3 linked regions of the Saccharomyces cerevisiae S288C genome follow. The gene in region 1 interacts genetically with each later gene. Each region holds a gene or a part of one and is shown in the gene's direction. Other genes may lie near its edges.

What was found. Genes that interact genetically often act in the same process or in processes that back each other up.
Region 2: of MLC1 (region 1) and SMY1, extra expression of one rescues a mutant of the other (dosage rescue), as found in Saccharomyces cerevisiae (one study listed by BioGRID).
Region 3: of MLC1 (region 1) and IQG1, extra expression of one rescues a mutant of the other (dosage rescue), as found in Saccharomyces cerevisiae (2 studies listed by BioGRID).

What each region holds. Positions count from the first base shown.
Region 1 is NC_001139.9:300,372-307,509, forward strand, and holds MLC1 (Mlc1p), read left to right. Parts: upstream 1-6,188; coding exon 6,189-6,638; downstream 6,639-7,138. Other genes in the region: ribosome biosynthesis protein NSA1, read left to right, coding at 1-998; CUE3 (Cue3p), read right to left, coding at 1,166-3,040; YGL108C (uncharacterized protein), read right to left, coding at 3,278-3,700; RMD9 (Rmd9p), read right to left, coding at 3,962-5,902; ARC1 (Arc1p), read left to right, coding at 7,066-7,138. UniProt on the Saccharomyces cerevisiae protein: Essential light chain for the class II conventional myosin MYO1. Also acts as light chain for the class V unconventional myosin MYO2 and for IQG1.
Region 2 is NC_001143.9:284,876-290,253, forward strand, and holds SMY1 (Smy1p), read left to right. Parts: upstream 1-1,727; coding exon 1,728-3,698; downstream 3,699-5,378. Other genes in the region: VMA5 (H(+)-transporting V1 sector ATPase subunit C), read left to right, coding at 155-1,333; DHR2 (RNA helicase), read left to right, coding at 3,970-5,378. UniProt on the Saccharomyces cerevisiae protein: Possible microtubule-based motor that can interact or substitute with myosin 2 (MYO2).
Region 3 is NC_001148.4:88,942-96,854, reverse strand, and holds IQG1 (Iqg1p), read left to right. Parts: upstream 1-1,745; coding exon 1,746-6,233; downstream 6,234-7,913. Other genes in the region: Hsp90 family chaperone HSP82, read left to right, coding at 1-359; GTPase-activating protein CIN2, read left to right, coding at 597-621, 702-1,483; signal recognition particle subunit SRP68, read right to left, coding at 6,539-7,913. UniProt on the Saccharomyces cerevisiae protein: Required for the assembly and the contraction of the actomyosin ring at the bud neck during cytokinesis.

The sequences.
Region 1 (7,138 bases):
AAAGAACCAAGTTGGTGGATGGTTTTGTCACATTATGTCCCATAAAAAAGGATTCGTCGAATAACACATTCGTAGCTGCTACCAAATCGGGATTATTACATATTATAAAAAAAGGAGAAGATAAAAAGTTAATAAAACTAGCATCCCTTGGACTGAAAGCACCAGTAGAATTTCTTCAGTTATATGATCTAGAAGATACCGATACTGATAAATATATATTTGCATACGGAGGGGAGGAGAATTTAATAAAATTAGTGGAAATAGATTCGAGTTTCCAATCTTTAAAGCAAATTTGGGAAGCCAAGAATGTTAAAAACGACAGGTTGGATATGAGAGTCCCAGTATGGCCCATGGCCCTAAGATTTTTGGAGCCCTCCCCTGGTAAAACTGAAAAGGGTAAGCTGAACTACCAGTTTGCAGCCATAACCCGTTGGTCCCACCTCACCAAATACAGCACACAACATGGCAGAAAACCGTTCGCTCAGATAGATTTATTACCTAACCGTGAACCATTATCTCAGATGGAAGTTTTTGATGCCAAGGGAGAAAATGTTGTCTCTTCGTTGGGGAATTTTCAATCTGAAACCTTTAATGAACTGAATGTGATTACTACTGACTACAAAAAGAATGTTTTTAAATTCGATGGTAATGGAAGAATGTTGGGCAAGGTGGGTAGAGATGATATCACTGGTTCGTCAACCTATATTCATGTACATGACGGCAAATATCTTTTACAAGGTGGTTTAGATAGGTATGTTCGGATCTTCGATATAAAAACTAACAAAATGCTGGTGAAGGTTTATGTTGGGTCCCGTATAAATTTTATTGTTATGCTGGATGACGTTGAAATCGAGATGCCACTAAGTCCAAGTGCGAAAGCTGCCAAAGGGAAGCAAAAAAGGAAGGTTACAGAACTTGAAGAAGACGCAGATGAGCTTTGGAATAAATTGGAGGGAAAGGTAGCTGCTTCTAAAGCCAGTAAGAAAAGCAAAATTTAATAGTAAAGGACGCTAATTGAAGGCAAAGTTTTACTAGTCGGCGGGAAAAATTATTAAAAAAAGCACTTCCTGAACGCGACGCTGAATAACTTATAATACGTTACATAATTGTATACCGTCTAGTAAACTTACATACGCTTGTCTATCTTGTATGCTGATGCATTTTATCAAATAGCGTTATTTCCCGCACGAGCCAATTTTTTATCGTGCCCCTTCTTACGGTTATGGTTAGCTCTAGCCCCTTTCCTTTTTTCATTCTTAGCATGCTGTCTTTTCTTCTGTTCAGTAGATTGAGGTTCATGTTTCTTAATATTTTCAGATTTTTTTTGTTTGGCTTGTTCTTTGACGACATTTCCATCATTTTGGCTATCACGATTATGAACATAAGACGTTTTCCCTGTTTTGCTATTTCCTTTGAACATAAACTTCTTTTCTAAAAGTCTTGCTCGGGTAGGAGATCTTTCTAACATCCGACACCAACCTTCGATTTTTTCATCCGACCATGAAGTCATTTCTTTCATAGTTTTCCTGACTTTTGTACCTCTTTTTGATCTCTCAAATAATTTCGGATCCTCTTTCAATAGATTCCACAAGTAAGCTTCAACAATATGATAGTTATGATCTTGTCGCACTTCATTAGAATCATCTTTTGTATCATAGCTTTCTTCGTCTTCTTGAAGTCCAATTCTTTTCGAAGGATCGGACCGGTTCACATCGGCTTCATCATAAGTGTCATCCCTTTCATCTTCATCAGCCTCGTATAAAAGTTTCAATGCTCTTGTCAAAGTTTTATTTCTTAATTCATCCGGAACACCCTCCGAGATAATCTTTTTGTCTAGCTCTTTATTTTTTGAGCTATCTCCTCTATCCAATATACTCAGTTCTTCAGTAAAGGATGCATTATCACCATCTGACACCGGCTCTACTTCTTCCTCCGCAGGTTCTCTGGAGAATGCTTCGATAATGGTAGGATCCTCAAATATTTTATTCGTTACTAATTCAATGTTATTATCATAGGCAAGCAACGTTTGAGATAATTGATATTTAGAAAACTGGGGGAACAATTCCATCAACGCGGACAGTTGTTCTTCATTAACTTCAGTACCTGATGATGTTGGATAGCTCATATGGTCTCCTTCGTCCATTGACAACCCCCCTAAATTCAGAAATAGTAACTTGCTCTTCAAATCAGGAAGCCTTTTGTGGACTCCTTCATTTATGAGCATTGTTCCTAAAAGAGGATATAACGCCAAAGTTTCAAAATTGCTTATGCCTAATTCTTTAGTTATTTTTAGTAAACGATCAGCAGAAACAGAAAATAAACTGATAATGATCAATTCTCTAGCCTCTTTATGACCCCGGCCCTGTCCCTTTGCCCATAATGCCTCTAAAATTTCAATCCAATTTGCCGTAAAGAAGTTCTCCGCAAACTTATTTGGCTGCATGGATTTGGCAGACAGCAGATCTTCAACGCACCTTAAATCTATTCTTTTAAATTTTCCAGATTCTATTAACTGCTTCAAATGCTGTTGAACTTGGTACGATTTGTCCAATTGTACACGTTGCGTGTTGATCCGTGGTTTCAATGAGCCATCGATCAAACCACGAATAGAATCTGGATTACGTCTAACATATACTTTGATCAAATTCCACAGGGAGTCACCAAAAATCTGAAGATGTAATAACCCGCATTTCTTGATCAATGAAAATATCCAGCCTTTTAGTAAATATAACTGTTCAGACACATCATGGTTGATACCGAGACTTAATAACTTTCCTTCCTCATCAGCAATTTCATGCAAGTAAGTTCTCAAAAATAAACGAAGATGATCAAGTGTAGATTCATCTAATAATTCAACGTTAGCACCTTGCATCAAATACTCAAAATACGTTACATAGGTTTCTATTAGATGCAGCCATACTACGGGGTCCTTTTCAATTAATTGAGCTCTGAGTTTAAACGGTGGAAATTTGACAATGGGCAGAGAAATATCTGCATTACCCCCATTTATTTCAATAACGCGGTTGTACCTTGATAACATTATTCTTAGTGATTCTATCCTATAAAAATTTCCAAGATTCAATAGTTAACTCGAATGTCTCTCATTTATGAGAACTAGTGTTTTATATTTTCATTTTTTCTATGGCCGCGCAAAATCCATTGGCAGATATTCAGGTATATAAACGTTACAAAGCCAAGAGGAGAATGGAAGGCCAACAAAAAAATTCTTGTACAATTGCATATATTGATTCATTACAATATTACTGCCGTCGTTCTCTCAGTCATAAATCATGTTTTCCCTTTCCCTCTCAGCATGCTTTTTCTCGGCCTCTTCCATTAAGCGAGTCTTATGAGACTTGGCACGCTCTTGAGCTAGCTTTTTGCCTAACTCGCCCTTATTGTACTTTTCATTCGTCTCTTGAAATCTCTTCTCAGCAGCTAACCTTGCGGCCTCCTTTGGGCTAACTTTATTTTTGCTCGGATCACTTGTATCAGTTAATTTGCTGCCTTCTTTCCTTTGCACAACCGGGACAGTTGTACTCTTTAGTTGTGTCTTCTTCTTTTTATCTTTCTTCTCTTTATGTCGAAGTTCTTGCTTTGACTTGACTGTATCACGATTAATTGGTTTTGTTCTTGCTTTAGTTGCCACCGTCGTAGTTTGTGAAGGCATTGGTTGGGTTTTACTTCCGCAAAGCCCCATACTATGTACTTAAATATTTGTTGTTGTTTGCTGGTGCAAATTTCCTGGATGATGTTAATGATAATTATAGACCGCTTTTATATAGTCTTATGCCTATCCTTTTCATTTTTATTTTTCTAGAGGGAAAAAATCGCTGATTACATGAGGGAAAAAAATATACACATTTCTTGATCATAGAAGATTCGATCTTATATATTATACGTTTAAATGTTTATTTACAAGCATGCATAAATTGAGATGGGGAGAATGAATGCGCTAGTACTATTGCTCCTTAGCAATAAAGCTATGTAGTTGAGGAACAGGAATGTCCTCGGCACTCAAGTCAGAATAACCGCTCAGATACTCATTTAATATTGGGTATGACTCTGCGCATCCAGTGGTATACCTATATACTTGCTTGGTAGCGCGAAAGTAGGGCGTATATCTTTTTAATATTTTCAAGTACAGCTCTATTCTGTCTTCTGAATTCGAAGTAGAATCCTCATTTTTCAAATTTTCCAATGGCTTCGGAACTTTTATGTCGTCTTCTGTGGTCGTAGTCGTTGCTGGTGTTCCTTTAGCTTTTGCAGAAAAGACCTTTTCATCCCTCTTTGATTGTGACCATACGACAGTGGCATCCCTCAAAGCGGACAGATCAGCATTGGCTATATATTGTTGGCCCAATTCATTCAGTTTCTTGACCAACTCCAGCCATCTATCCAGAATCTCTTCATTATTCGTGTTGTCTATGCTTCCCAATGATTTCAGTAGTATTCTATATGATATAATAGTTCTTGGAATATGGTACAAAGTATAGTTTTTATCGATAAAATCGATTATGCTGCGTTCGTGCCAGATAGATGCTCTAGTTAACATAACGTTAAAAAATGGTTCATCAATTTTTTTGACCCCACTGTAAAACGTTATGATTTCTTGAAGCTTACGGAAACCATTGATATTGTCATTAATATAGTTTTCGAAGAATATTGTGAAAAAAGTGTTGTTTAGTGAGGACAAAATTCCAGGATTAACAGTGTTACCATAAAATTTTACAGCCTTTTCCCATATTCTATAAACATGATCAAAATCGTTCTGTGCTTTCCATATATTCTGCAAAAAAGAGTTCACTGTAGAGACTTGTAAAATAATCTTGTATGGCATTTCATCGTTGATAATTTTGTCAAAGAAACTTTCTGCCAACGTTAAATTCTTGGAATCACCAATGAAGCTTAAGTGCGTTTCAATTAAATAACCGTAATTCCTCACTTCAGCCTTTTCACATAATTGGCCGAAGAGGGATAATGCCTTTTCGTAGTCTTCCGCCTTGATGAAGACTTTTATCAGTCCGCTGTAAAGATTGGGATGGATAAATTCTTTGGATTGAATAATTTGGTTATATAGCTCGTTAGGCTCAGTCAGAGAACGCGTTTTTGCATAAAGTAATGGCAGCATAAAACCAACCACTTTTGGTTCTTGGAATGCCTGTGAAGTAGTCTCGTCGGACAAATTCTTTGACGCTTCCCAAATTCGAATACAGTCATCGTCAAATGACAGCTCTTTAAATGAAGTCAATAGATGAGTAGCTCCATATCCGCTGACAGACACCTTGCCTATCAAAATGTCATCAGATATATCCTTTAATGAATTACATAGAAAGTTCATCATTTCCTTGTGAAAAGATTGCGAATCGTAGTCTGGCTTTCTACTTAATTTTACCAATTGGTCTCTCGTCGACCTCAGACCGTTATGCAGCAGATGAATCAAACGTGACACCCGGTACGCATTGAAATCAGGCGATTCTCTCAAAGAATAGTATAACTCCATTGCTCTGCCCATGGAGTCCCAAAACATGGCGAATGATGGATTTTTATTCAATTGGTTGTTTCCTATTCTTTTGTATGTATTTTGCAAAGGCGTGGTAGAGTACTTTAAAGCAGATGATACACACTCATCAAACGAAAGAAGCTCGTGGCGCCATGGAGAAGCTGGATCCACATTAAACACATTCTGTTCTGTTTTGCGCTGTTCTCGCCCATTCTTCTTGTCCAAAACGCCCTTAGGTACATTTTTATGAAATATCGGACTGGAGTGGTAAGTACGGTCGCTAAGAACTACGTTGGCAAGCTTACCTCTCAGCATTGCTATCGAACCGGAGTTAACAACGTTGCTTACGCTTATTTCCATAGTTTTTAACGATCTCACCGCATTTCTTCTAAGCATCATTGTCCCTTTTGCAGTATATGGACTCTCCGAATAGTGTAAGAAAATGACACTGAAACCTCACCTTCTTTTACTTATTGCTTAGACCCTCATTACAATGCCATACTGAATACATTTTTTCGAATCTTGTTCAGTCAGGAACCTCAACCATATATCATTACACACGAGTAGTAACAAAAGCATTTTGAAGTAAGATTTGAAACAAAATAATACTCAGAGTAGATCGACGTATAAGAGTTCCTTCCCCAGCGTATTCCGCCACCACCCATCGCACATACATAGAATAACAATGTCAGCCACCAGAGCCAATAAAGATATTTTCACACTATTCGACAAGAAGGGTCAAGGCGCCATTGCCAAGGATTCCTTGGGAGATTACCTGAGGGCAATTGGCTACAACCCCACCAACCAGCTCGTACAGGACATCATAAACGCGGATTCGAGCTTGAGAGACGCCTCTAGCTTGACGCTGGACCAGATTACAGGCCTAATTGAAGTCAACGAAAAGGAATTGGATGCAACTACCAAGGCAAAGACAGAAGACTTCGTCAAGGCATTCCAGGTCTTCGACAAGGAAAGTACAGGCAAGGTATCCGTTGGTGACTTAAGGTACATGCTAACTGGCTTGGGTGAAAAGTTAACCGACGCTGAAGTAGACGAGCTGTTGAAGGGTGTTGAAGTGGACAGCAACGGAGAAATTGACTACAAGAAGTTCATCGAAGATGTTTTGAGACAATGAGAGTGCGGAACTGCAAATTTAGACATTTATTACTATATAACAGAGTCCTATCGACATAAAAACGAAAAAAGCGCCATTATGCAATGAAAACTTGCCAGCGGTTTTTCATTTTTCATACTGGTAATTCAGAGAGCCAAGTCTTTCTTTATAATGCATAGCAATAAATAGTCATATATATATATATATATATATATATATGTACATATATATGAACATATATATGAACAAATAAATGATAATGGTATGTGATAGTCATTATTAACGATTAAGCGTTTTTCTTCAGTTTCTGAGGGATTCTAACCGCTTGGCGATTTTGCAAGAGATAAGAAAATTTTTCAGTCATATGGATAACCTAACACAGCGTGCGACGTATTTTACTTCAGGGCCCAATTGAATAAGAAAGTATAATATAGAGTTTCAAGAGTCAATGTCCGATCTCGTTACCAAGTTCGAATCGCTTATTATTTCAAAGTATCCAGTTTCTTTCACTAAAGAACAAT
Region 2 (5,378 bases), on another chromosome or scaffold:
ATAGTGCAACACGTCTGGTGATATCATGTGCTTTCAAGCAGGATTTGTCACAGTGCTTTAGAAACACAAACAAAGGAGGTATATAGAAGTTGCAGTTGCTAGAGTTTGTTTTCTTACCTAATTCTAGATCAATTCTTTTTTCTGAAAAAAAAAAATGGCTACTGCGTTATATACTGCAAACGATTTCATATTAATCTCGTTGCCTCAAAATGCTCAACCTGTTACCGCCCCTGGCTCCAAAACTGATTCATGGTTCAATGAGACCTTAATCGGGGGTAGGGCATTTGTTTCTGATTTCAAAATTCCCGAATTCAAAATTGGCTCTTTAGACACATTGATAGTTGAATCGGAAGAACTGTCTAAAGTAGATAACCAAATTGGGGCTTCTATTGGCAAAATCATTGAAATTCTTCAAGGCCTCAACGAGACCAGCACCAATGCTTACAGGACTTTACCTATCAATAATATGCCAGTTCCTGAATACTTGGAAAATTTTCAATGGCAAACCAGAAAGTTCAAGTTAGATAAGTCTATCAAAGATTTGATAACATTGATTTCTAATGAATCTTCTCAATTAGACGCCGACGTCAGAGCTACTTATGCAAATTACAACAGCGCTAAAACTAACTTGGCTGCTGCTGAGAGAAAGAAGACGGGTGACCTTTCTGTCAGATCCTTGCATGATATTGTCAAGCCCGAAGACTTCGTTCTTAATTCTGAACATTTAACTACTGTTCTAGTAGCAGTTCCCAAAAGTTTAAAATCCGATTTCGAAAAATCGTACGAAACTTTATCCAAGAACGTTGTACCAGCATCTGCCAGCGTGATTGCAGAGGATGCTGAGTATGTTTTGTTCAATGTTCATTTGTTCAAGAAAAACGTTCAAGAATTCACAACAGCTGCTAGAGAGAAGAAATTCATTCCTCGTGAATTTAACTACTCGGAGGAATTAATTGACCAGTTGAAAAAAGAGCATGACTCTGCTGCCAGTTTAGAACAATCTTTGCGCGTCCAGTTGGTAAGATTGGCCAAGACAGCTTATGTCGATGTTTTTATAAATTGGTTCCACATCAAGGCCTTGAGAGTTTACGTGGAATCTGTTTTGCGTTACGGGTTGCCACCTCACTTTAACATCAAGATTATAGCTGTCCCACCAAAGAATCTCTCTAAATGCAAGTCTGAATTAATTGATGCTTTTGGATTTCTTGGTGGCAATGCCTTCATGAAGGATAAAAAAGGGAAAATTAACAAGCAAGATACTTCTCTTCACCAATATGCTTCTCTTGTCGACACAGAGTATGAACCATTTGTGATGTATATAATCAATTTATAATCGATTTATAATACTAACTTAGATTAATATATATTTCTGTTTTTTTTTTAGAATTTTCAACTTTTTTATTCATAGAGATAATACACTGTGATTGTGAATGTTTGAATAGTAATGGAACATAATCCGATAAAATATGCTTTTGATGAACGATTAGACATTTTTCAATTTTGTCGTTGAGTTCCAATCCTTCCTTATTTATGGTTAACAAGGAAAGAGGTGGAAGTTAAAAAAATGGAAATTAAAAAAAAAAAAAAATCAAAAAAAGAAAAATAAAAATAGAAAAATTGGCACGGAAATCTACAGGATTTAGCACTAGTAGGGGGTTTATTAAGCACTACAGGTCGACTTTAAACCAGAAAAAATTATCATTCAGGGTAGGTGCAAACTTGTTAAAATGCACTGGAATATAATTTCGAAAGAGCAAAGTAGCTCTTCTGTATCGTTACCAACTCTAGACAGCAGTGAACCCTGTCACATCGAAGTTATCCTCAGGGCGATACCCGAAAAAGGATTACAAAACAATGAGTCGACCTTCAAAATAGACCCATATGAAAATACTGTGCTATTTCGCACAAACAATCCGTTACATGAGACAACCAAGGAGACCCATTCAACATTTCAATTCGATAAGGTATTCGATGCTAACGCCACTCAAGAAGATGTTCAGAAATTTCTGGTGCATCCAATAATAAATGATGTTTTGAATGGTTATAACGGTACTGTAATAACATATGGACCAAGTTTCAGCGGAAAGTCCTATTCCCTTATTGGATCAAAAGAAAGCGAAGGAATTCTACCGAACATATGCAAGACCTTGTTTGATACGCTAGAAAAAAATGAAGAAACAAAGGGAGATAGTTTTAGCGTAAGTGTTTTGGCATTCGAAATATATATGGAGAAAACGTATGACTTATTGGTACCTTTACCTGAAAGAAAACCATTAAAGCTTCACCGTTCTTCAAGCAAAATGGACTTAGAAATCAAAGATATTTGTCCGGCACATGTCGGATCGTATGAAGACTTAAGAAGCTACATTCAGGCAGTCCAAAACGTCGGCAATAGGATGGCATGTGGCGACAAGACAGAGAGATCAAGATCACACCTAGTTTTTCAATTACACGTAGAACAAAGGAATAGAAAAGATGATATATTAAAAAATAGTTCTTTATATCTGGTTGATTTACACGGGGCAGAGAAGTTCGATAAAAGAACTGAAAGTACGCTATCACAAGATGCGTTAAAAAAATTAAACCAATCTATTGAGGCGTTGAAAAACACTGTGCGGTCCTTGTCAATGAAAGAGCGTGATTCAGCCTACAGCGCAAAAGGATCACATAGTTCTGCTTACCGTGAATCGCAATTAACTGAAGTGTTAAAAGATTCCCTTGGGGGAAATAGGAAAACAAAGGTGATATTGACATGTTTCTTAAGTAATGTTCCAACTACCCTATCAACACTAGAATTTGGTGACAGTATTAGACAGATCAATAACAAGGTTACAGATAACACCACAGGTTTAAATCTGAAAAAAAAAATGGATCTATTTATTCAGGACATGAAAATTAAGGATGATAATTATGTTGCCCAAATTAATATACTAAAGGCTGAAATAGACTCTTTAAAAAGCCTTCACAATAAATCTCTTCCCGAAGACGACGAGAAAAAAATGTTAGAAAATACAAAGAAAGAAAATATCAAACTAAAGCTTCAATTAGACAGTATTACCCAATTATTGAGTAGTTCTACCAATGAAGATCCTAACAATCGTATTGACGAAGAAGTTTCTGAAATATTAACGAAAAGATGCGAACAGATTGCTCAGCTTGAGTTATCTTTTGATCGACAGATGAATTCCAATTCTAAGTTGCAGCAAGAGTTAGAATACAAAAAGTCAAAAGAGGAAGCCTTAGAGTCTATGAACGTTAGGCTACTAGAACAAATTCAGCTTCAGGAAAGAGAGATTCAAGAGCTTTTAACTACTAACGCCATCTTAAAGGGTGAACTAGAAACTCACACTAAACTTACTGAAACACGCAGTGAAAGGATAAAATCTTTGGAAAGTTCTGTCAAAGAGCTTTCTCTTAATAAATCTGCAATCCCATCTCCTAGAAGAGGGTCTATGAGCTCGTCATCAGGAAATACTATGTTGCATATCGAGGAGGGTTCTGAAATATCAAATAGCCCTTGGTCAGCCAATACTTCCTCAAAACCTTTAGTATGGGGCGCGAGAAAGGTTTCTTCTAGCAGTATAGCAACCACTGGATCACAGGAGTCTTTTGTGGCAAGACCGTTCAAGAAGGGATTAAACCTCCATTCGATAAAAGTCACTTCGAGTACTCCAAAAAGTCCCTCTTCTGGAAGCTGACTATAATTAAGTTCGATAATTGTACGATACAACTGTGTAGTATCTTTGTAATTATAATCATGATGATAACGCTAATAATTTGTACGTATAATGCTGACTGAAAGATGTACTTTTCTTCTACCGTTTTTCTTCGGCGGCTATTCGTTTACAATGATTTGGAAAAATGAGAAAAATTGAAAATAAAAAATTCTGCTCGATGAGATGAGATGAGGTTATGATATATATGTAAGAATTCCTCAAGAAGAGGTTGCAAGAGTCTGCAGACATTATCATGGCAGCAAATAGCAATAGTAGAGTTGCATCAAACCATACTTCTAAAAAACAAAAGGTTAGGAGGAATATACATCCATTCACGAATAACACTCGGATTAAAAGAGCTAGTAAAATCGTAAAGTTTAATGATTCAGGCGAGGGCGACCATGTTTCAGACCAACGTTCGAACAAGGAAAATGTCCTTACTTATAAATCTTTGAAAAGTCGGGCAAGCGATTTACTCAAAATGAGAGAAACACTTCCCGTTTACCAACACAAGCGAGAAATAATGTCATATATTGAAAGCAATCCCGTTACCGTCCTTATTGGTGAAACAGGTTCTGGTAAATCAACACAAATTCCGCAATTCGTATTAGAAAAATTATATGATACGAAGAAGCATGGGTCGATTGCTGTAACTCAACCCCGTCGTGTTGCGGCCATCAATTTGGCTACACGTGTTGCTCAAGAACATGGTTGCAAACTGGGTGAACAAGTAGGTTATTCTGTCAGATTTGACAATACGACTACTACAAGAACAAGACTTAAGTATCTGACTGACGGTATGTTACTTAGAGAACTTATGATGAATAGTGACCTTAGAGAATACAGCGTCATCGTTATCGATGAAGCGCATGAAAGAACTGTGCTTACAGATTTGATATTGGGGTTCTTAAAATCCTTGATACAAGGGCCAAGACCTGATTTGAGAATAATTGTTATGTCTGCAACATTGCAAGCCGAAAAATTTAGTGAGTTCTTCAATAATGCCCCAATCTTATTTGTAGAAGGAAGAAAATTTGATGTCAAACAATACTACTTGAAGGCGCCAACAGATGATATAGTAGACGCTGTCATCAGGTGTTGTATACAAATAAACCAAGGTGAAGAACTGGGAGATATCTTATGTTTTTTACCGGGCCAAGAAGAGATTGACAAAGCAGTGACTATAATGGAGAAAATTGCAAAGTATGTTTCAGATGAGGCCCCAGTACCATTAATAGTTCCTTATCCTTTATATGCAGCTCTTCCCGCGGTCCAACAGTCCTTGGTCTTCGCTCCGATAAAGGGTTTCAAGAGAAAAGTCGTCTTTAGTACCAATATTGCAGAAACATCTGTTACCATATCCGGTGTTAAATTTGTCGTTGATTCTGGTCTTCGAAAAGTCAAAGTTTGGAGACATCAGCTGGGATTAGCCACTCTACTTACCGTACCCATTTCTCAGGCAAGTGCGATGCAGAGAAGTGGTCGTGCTGGTAGAGAAAGTGAAGGAAAGAGTTTCAGGCTTTATTGTGAGTCTGATTATGTGAAATTACCTAAACAAAGTGAACCTGAAATAGCCAGAAGTGACGTCACATCTCCTGTGTTAATGTTGAAGAGATATGGTGTTGATGACCTGCTAAACTGGACCTGGTTTGAGAACCCTGG
Region 3 (7,913 bases), on another chromosome or scaffold:
GAATCATGAAGGCTCAAGCCTTGAGAGACTCTTCCATGTCCTCCTACATGTCTTCCAAGAAGACTTTCGAAATTTCTCCAAAATCTCCAATTATCAAGGAATTGAAAAAGAGAGTTGACGAAGGTGGTGCTCAAGACAAGACTGTCAAGGACTTGACTAAGTTATTATATGAAACTGCTTTGTTGACTTCCGGCTTCAGTTTGGACGAACCAACTTCCTTTGCATCAAGAATTAACAGATTGATCTCTTTGGGTTTGAACATTGATGAGGATGAAGAAACAGAGACTGCTCCAGAAGCATCCACCGCAGCTCCGGTTGAAGAGGTTCCAGCTGACACCGAAATGGAAGAGGTAGATTAGGTAGAACATCATGGCCTTGAATAGGTTATAAACAAAACATAATATAACGTATAGGTATTCGAATGAATAAATAAGTATGTAAATAGGGCATCTGCATGGAAATAACTGGGTAAAACATTACAATGTATTTTTTTAGAGTTTTCACTATTCCGACGCGTCTAGTGTGTCATACAAAACGCGAAGAATCTGAAATCGTGAAATATACTTAAGAATATAACTGAAATAGCTTAAGCATAAATGGACTTTACTGCGAAGATAAAGGGTATGTTGAAACTCATCTGCTTTCATTATGCGTCCAACTAATTAACATTGCATATTTTCGTATACTATTTTTTTGTGTAGAGCTCGAACGAGAACTCTCAGAGACGAGTGACTATAAGACCTTGCAGAAGAAGACCATAAGTCTTCGAAGTGAGCTGAATACTCTGTCACATTCTTTGACATCTTATGAAAAAGAACACTTCTCCAATGATATAGAAAATGTATTAAAATCTATTAATGCAAAATTATCTGAGTCAAAGGGCAAAAAACGACTATTCTCCTTCAAACAGAAAAATTCATCATCAGCCGTTCATAAGAATGTTGAACGTACGGAGCTTGCGAATGCGCCGGCGTATACCACTACTTTGAAAAAGCATTATGTCTTGGAGAAGGGTGATTCAGCTTTTGAAAATTTAGAGTTTTGTACTGTTACATCAACAACAGATTATAGTGGCAATAGTGCCCTTTCTGGTTCTTTGTGCTTTCGCAATATTACTAAATGTGTCATAAACTTACAAAGGATTTTCTTTCAAACAGGGAGTATTTTCATAACTGATTGTACGGATTCTATAATTTTTCTACGGTCTCCTTCCGACAAGGATTTCCAAATCCGTTTACGTGACTTGAAAAATTGCAAAATTTTGATAGAGAAACTCTCGCCAAGTATCGATTGCAAACAAGTGGTAATCATAGAAAATTGTCACAAATGCATTTTCAACGCAAGCACTCGGGACCACCTAATTATACAAGATTTCTCTAACCCCTTCCAAAGCGAAGAAACTGAGGACAATTCTGCCTTTGCATTTGAAGATTTTGATATTTGTAACAAGGATACAATGCAGTTGTTTCGCGCTTACTTATAGCGCTTTATATTGAGCTACGCATCGCTAAAATTGTTTATTTCGTATATAGTGATTTAAGCATGCCATTAATAGCATATCCTAAAAGAGGAAAGTGTAAACATTACAAATTCTTCCATCTTGAAATTAAGAAACCCTGTTATTGACATCAGAAAACAACAGCTTTTTATTGAAAATAAGAAAGTAGTTGGCCAAAACATAGATTATTTTTTTGAAAAACTTATTGCACCAGTTCAATTATATGTAACAAGGTGGTGCAAAAACAATGACAGCATATTCAGGCTCTCCTTCGAAACCAGGCAATAATAATTCTTATCTAAATCGTTATGTTGAAAACCTAGGCACCAATGTGACTCCACCTCTGAGACCGCAGTCAAGTTCCAAAATCAACTCTTCGTTAAACATAGCGTCGCCAAGTCATTTAAAGACTAAGACGTCAGCTAGCAACAGTTCTGCGACAATTTTGTCAAAAAAAGTAGAAAGTTCCGTATCAAAGCTGAAGCCATCCCTTCCTAACAAACTCGTAGGAAAATATACCGTAGACTTAAGTAATTATTCGAAAATAGAACTGAGGTACTATGAGTTTTTATGCAGAGTATCAGAAGTCAAAATATGGATTGAAGCTGTTATTGAGGAAGCACTACCATCAGAAATAGAGTTATGTGTTGGAGACTCACTTAGGAATGGTGTTTTTTTGGCCAAGCTAACCCAGAGGATAAATCCAGATTTGACAACGGTTATATTTCCTGCAGGTGATAAACTACAATTTAAACACACTCAGAACATTAATGCCTTTTTTGGTTTGGTAGAACATGTCGGTGTTCCGGACTCTTTTAGATTTGAATTGCAAGATCTCTATAACAAGAAGAATATCCCTCAGGTTTTCGAAACCCTGCATATTCTTATATCAATGATTAATAAGAAATGGCCAGGCAAAACGCCCGCTTTAACAAATGTATCGGGCCAAATAAGTTTTACCAAAGAAGAAATCGCAGCTTGTAAAAAAGCATGGCCTAGAATTAGAGACTTCAAGTCCTTAGGAACTAATATCAATACTGCACCAGCTTCCCCTGAGGAACCAAAAGAAAAAAGAAGCGGATTGATAAAAGACTTTAATAAATTTGAAAGGCCGAATATACCGGTGGAAGAAATTTTAATTACCCCAAGAAAGAATATAACAGATGCTAATTGCTCCGATTTTTCTAATACACCTTCACCTTATAATGAAGCTCCAAAAATGTCAAATTTGGATGTCGTTGTTGAGAAGAGGAAATTCACACCCATTGAGCCGAGTCTTCTGGGCCCTACACCATCTTTAGAATATAGCCCAATAAAAAACAAAAGTCTGTCGTACTATTCTCCTACCATCTCGAAATACTTGACATATGATACAGAATTTTATACGAGAAGGAGTCGTGCAAGAGAGGAAGATTTGAATTATTACCAGACGTTCAAATACTCACCTTCTCATTATTCTCCCATGAGAAGAGAAAGGATGACAGAGGAACAATTTTTAGAGAAGGTAGTTCAACTGCAAAATATTTGTCGAGGAGTTAATACCCGTTTTAACCTATACATTCAAAAAAGGTTACTGAACCTTTTTGAACAGGACATACTAAGGTTTCAAGCATGCCTAAGAGGAAATAAATTTAGAGTATTGTCATCAATGTATTTGCCAATAAGAAGAGCAAAGATTGACGTTCCTCATGTCGAGGCGATTCAATCGCGAATTAAGGGAAGCAGAATTCGATATAAATACGATAAATTGAAATTTACACTCTCAAGGTTTTCGTGTACTGTCGAACTTTTGCAAGCATATTGTCGTTCAAAATTGTTGAAGACAACCGTTAACACAAAATTAAATGATATTGAGATATCACATTATCCTCTGACAAAATTGCAGTCTTATATGCGTGCTTCTTATGTGAGAAAGAAGGTGATGTCCCTCAATACAAAGTTGAACGATGAGCGAGAAAGTATTATGAAGTTTTCGGCAATCATCAGAGGTAACGTTGTGAGGTGTTCAGAGGACGCGATATTAAGTGCTGTACATGATGTACATAAGGAAAATATCTCAAAATTGCAAAGCTTGATTAGAGGAATATTTACGCGTTCGTGCCTAGCATCAATAATATATTCACTTGGAAAAGAAAACTGTAATATTATTCAATTATCAGCCTGTATACGCGGAAACGCTGTAAGACATAAGGTACAGTCACTGTTTGCGCCCGAAAATAATCTCAGTGAAACTGTGCACGACCTCCAGGGTTTGGTTAGAGGTATTCTAGTCCGCTACACATTAGACTTAGTCGATGACATTGTGGAGTATAATAATTTAGCATTATTTCAAGCATTTTCTAGAGGCGCTTTAGTACGTGAAAGCTTGGACCAAAAGTCGAGTTTTTACAAGAGAAACGTAAGGTCGGTTATTATGATTCAAAGCTGGATTAGGAAAAGTCTGCAAAGATCGGCATATTTGGAACTTCTAGACTGTCCAAATCCAAGTCTTTGGGCTGTCAAAAAATTCGTTCATTTGCTCAATGGAACAGCAACCATTGAAGAGGTCCAAAACCAGTTGGAGAGTTGCCAAGCCTCTCTTGATTCCGAAAATATGAAGAAGGAACGATTACTGAAGAGCATAAGACAACAACTAAATATTAACGGAGTATTGGATAAGTTTGGACTATTAAAAGATAAAGATCATGAACTCGGTATTTCCGATTCTACGATTCCGAAGTCTAAATATCAAAAGTATGAAAAACTGTTCTATATGTTGCAAGTTGATCCCTCTTATTGGAAATTGCTGTATTTGAAAGAGCCAGAATTTGTTGCAAAGAATGTTTATATGACATTTGGAACAGTGAATCAAAGGATGAACGACAGAGAGAGATCCTATTTCACAAGGTTTGTTTGTGAAATGTTACAAAATGCGATTAATGAAGCACCGAGTATTGAAAGCTTTCTTGACAACCGATCACAATTTTGGCAAACCATTCTTCAAGATTTTTTGAGAAGAGAGTCTCCAGAATTCTTCTCTATAATAGTCCCAGTTTTGGATTACTTGTCAGATCCAGTAGTGGATTTTGAAAGTGATCCATACAAAATTTATCAAGAAATACACGGCTTTAGCTCTCCTCAGCATTGTTCGCCTGTGGATGATGCGAGTACCAAGAATAAGTTCATTGACAATTTAAGGTGCCTATGGCACGCGATTGAAATGGTCGCTGAAATTTATACCAGAAAGGTTCACACTATTCCCGTTGAAATCAGGTACCTCTGCACTAAAATCTTCTGCTACGCGGCAGATAAGAATATTGAGGAGATTGACTCTTTAAGGGCCATATCAAGTATTCTAGTGAACGTTTTTGTGTCTGAATATTTGGTCAACCGGGAATATTACGGATACAAAGACAGCAACGTTCAAAAAAATAACCAAAAAATTGACATTCTAATGAAATCCTTGGCGACTGTTTTTGAAATCAAAAATTTTGATGGCTTTTTGGATCCATTGAACCAGTACGCTAACGAAATAAAGCCTCATATCAAAGATGTCCTTTATAATGTGTTAGTAGATCCAGAGTATGAACAAGAGGGAGATAGATTGATTTATTTGGATATGGTATCGCCAAGCCCCAAATTGGAATTGTTAACTGAAAAGGTTCTGGAAATCAGTGGTAAATTTGAAGAGTATTTAAATGAATTTCCGGAAGCAGATATTTTGCATGATATTTTGGAAAAGAACTTGGACAATTCATCCTTTCCAAGATCAGGACGTGTTACCTTGGAATTGGATGCATCTGCATATCGATTCCTCGTTAGTGATGACAAGATGAGAAAAATCTACGACCAAGTTAAAAGGGCATTTGTGTACATGATGCAAATTGAGGATGTAGATACCAATTTGTATGACCTTTCAATTAGTACAATTCTACCTCAAGATGAACCAAATTTTGCAAATTTTCTGGAGCAAAATCCTAAAATCAGGGATGATCCAATGATACAGAAGCTGAAACCATTGAAATACTTCACACTCAAAAATGTTACTTTGAAAAAAATACATGAACTAGAAAGTACGGGGACTTTTTGCTCTTCTGATAATAAGTTACAAAATTTCTTAAACGATATTGCGAACACTATTAAAAATCCCAACTATGCCATTGATTATGTAACCCAGGAAATTTACATCACAAAGGAAACACTCACAAAAATTTCGGAAATGAACCACAGCTTAGATATAGAATTATCAAGGCTTAAAAAACATGTTGATCATACGATAAAAGACTTCCAGAAAGCCAAGGATTTTTCGCCGGTGCACAAAAGTAAATTTGGAAATTTTAAGAATGCAGTAAAAAAAGTTCAAGGAAGAGAACGTTCTGAATTGCAGGGAATGAAGTTTAAATGGAACACAAAGCAGTTGTATGAAAGAGGAGTGCTTAAAACCATCAGGGGTGAAAAACTAGCTGAACTGACTGTAAAAGTCTTTGGTTCGAGCGGTCCTAAATTCCCAGATATAATATTCAAAATTTCCACATCGGATGGTTCTAGATTCGGTATTCAAATGATTGACAAAAGAAAAGGGCCCGATAAACGATACTCGGATGATGTCGATTCTTTCTCATTTAAAGACTTGATAAAGACTCAAGTTGAACCAAAAATCGAGACGTGGAAATTATTCCATTCCAACGTTGTTGTTAACAATAGCCAATTACTACATTTGATTGTCAGTTTTTTCTATAAAAGGAACGCTTTGTAATAGATAACTCGGTTTTGAGCATATTGGGCAAAAGCTGTTACTAAATTTTCCCATTCTTTCTATTTTTATCTTTGTTTTTATTTTCCTTATTTTCAGCAGCAAAAATAATTTAACGTATAGTTATGTAAAGGACCCTAAACATCTTCTTTTTAGCATGTGCTGTAATTTGGCGATATCTTCAGTAGATAAAAATAAGATGTGTTAAGTAATGCACTTCGTTATTTGGCTACTATAGTTGGCAATCATCATTTGTTTAAATGGAATAATCTATATAGTACTATAAATACAGTCATACTAGAAAAATATTAACGACCAAATAGGCCCAAGAAACCACGCTTCTTTTTAGGCTCTCCTTCCGTCTGCTCATTAGAAATTGGTGTTTGAGAGATGCTCTCGGTTTCTGTGACTGAATCTTTCACTTGAGAAGCTGAGGGCTCTTGCTTATCATATGTTATGTAGTTGAAGGCCAAATCAAAAAGTGTTGGTTTACTAGGAATGGGCAGCATTTTTGGCTTGAGAGGGAATAAATTTTTCAATTGTATGTCCGTTGGCAGTATTTTTTTACTATCCAATTTTTCAATCACTGTCAAATCATATTTCCCTAAGCTGCCACCATGATTTCTTTTTTCGTATTCCGCCAAAGTAATGACACTATTACCACCGTTTTCGATTCTCTTTTGTAAGCTTCGGACAGAATTCAATGACAAAAGATTTGCTGGAAGTAAGATTTCGTCTAGAGATTCAATTTCAGATAATTTGTTTTCTAATCTTCGGTAAGCGTCCACATATAGAGCTAACGCCTCCATATATCTGCCTTTCGACTGATATAAAACACTCAGGCAGCCCGTATTCAGAAATAACTGGAAATACAGCTTGCATAAGTCTAATTGGCTTAGCAGCTCGTCATCTGAATACACACCAGGTAGCTCCATTATGTCCGATAAATATTTTGTCAAATTCTTCACAATACGTTCCATTTCTTTATATTTGGTTAACTTCGATGGTAATGAAGTATTTAATTTCAGCCATTGATTCCATAAATGAGTAAACAAATCTCTTTCACGAGATATAGAGGTCAAAAGAATATTATATTTAATGTAGGCTAAAATTATCTGATTGTTTTCAGAACTATTTTCAACCATCTCGTCTATGTCATCTTGATCGTCGTGGTTTGCGATGAAAAATTCATGACGGTCTAAAGCTTTCTCCAATTTTGATAGCCTCTGTGTATATTGAGTAATCTGAGTTGGGTGGATAGATAGACCTTGTTCCAAAAATTGAGCAACTTCAGCATCGATTATCTTGGCGTTGAAAGATCTCCAGTTTATGTTAGTGGTAACCTTTTGATCTTCAGTTGAGGTTGTAATTTTTTTCATATTGAATCCATTGTCTAATAACAATTTCACAAGCTCATCGTCCTTGTTCTCATCAGATTGAACTCTTTCCACGATAAAGTTATTTATTTCGGGCGTTGTAATTAAATTTCCCGCGTACTGCTTGAGAGAGTACTGGTATTTATTAACAATGTTATCTACAACTTCTTCAGCTAATAAGCTTAGATTCTTCAAGTGTTCCAATGCGGCGAAAACGAGGGCTAGGTTGTTCGAAATTTTGGCATTGTCCTTCCTCTTGAACCTTTTTCCATTAATTAGGTACTCTGAATGTACCAATTTAGCGAAC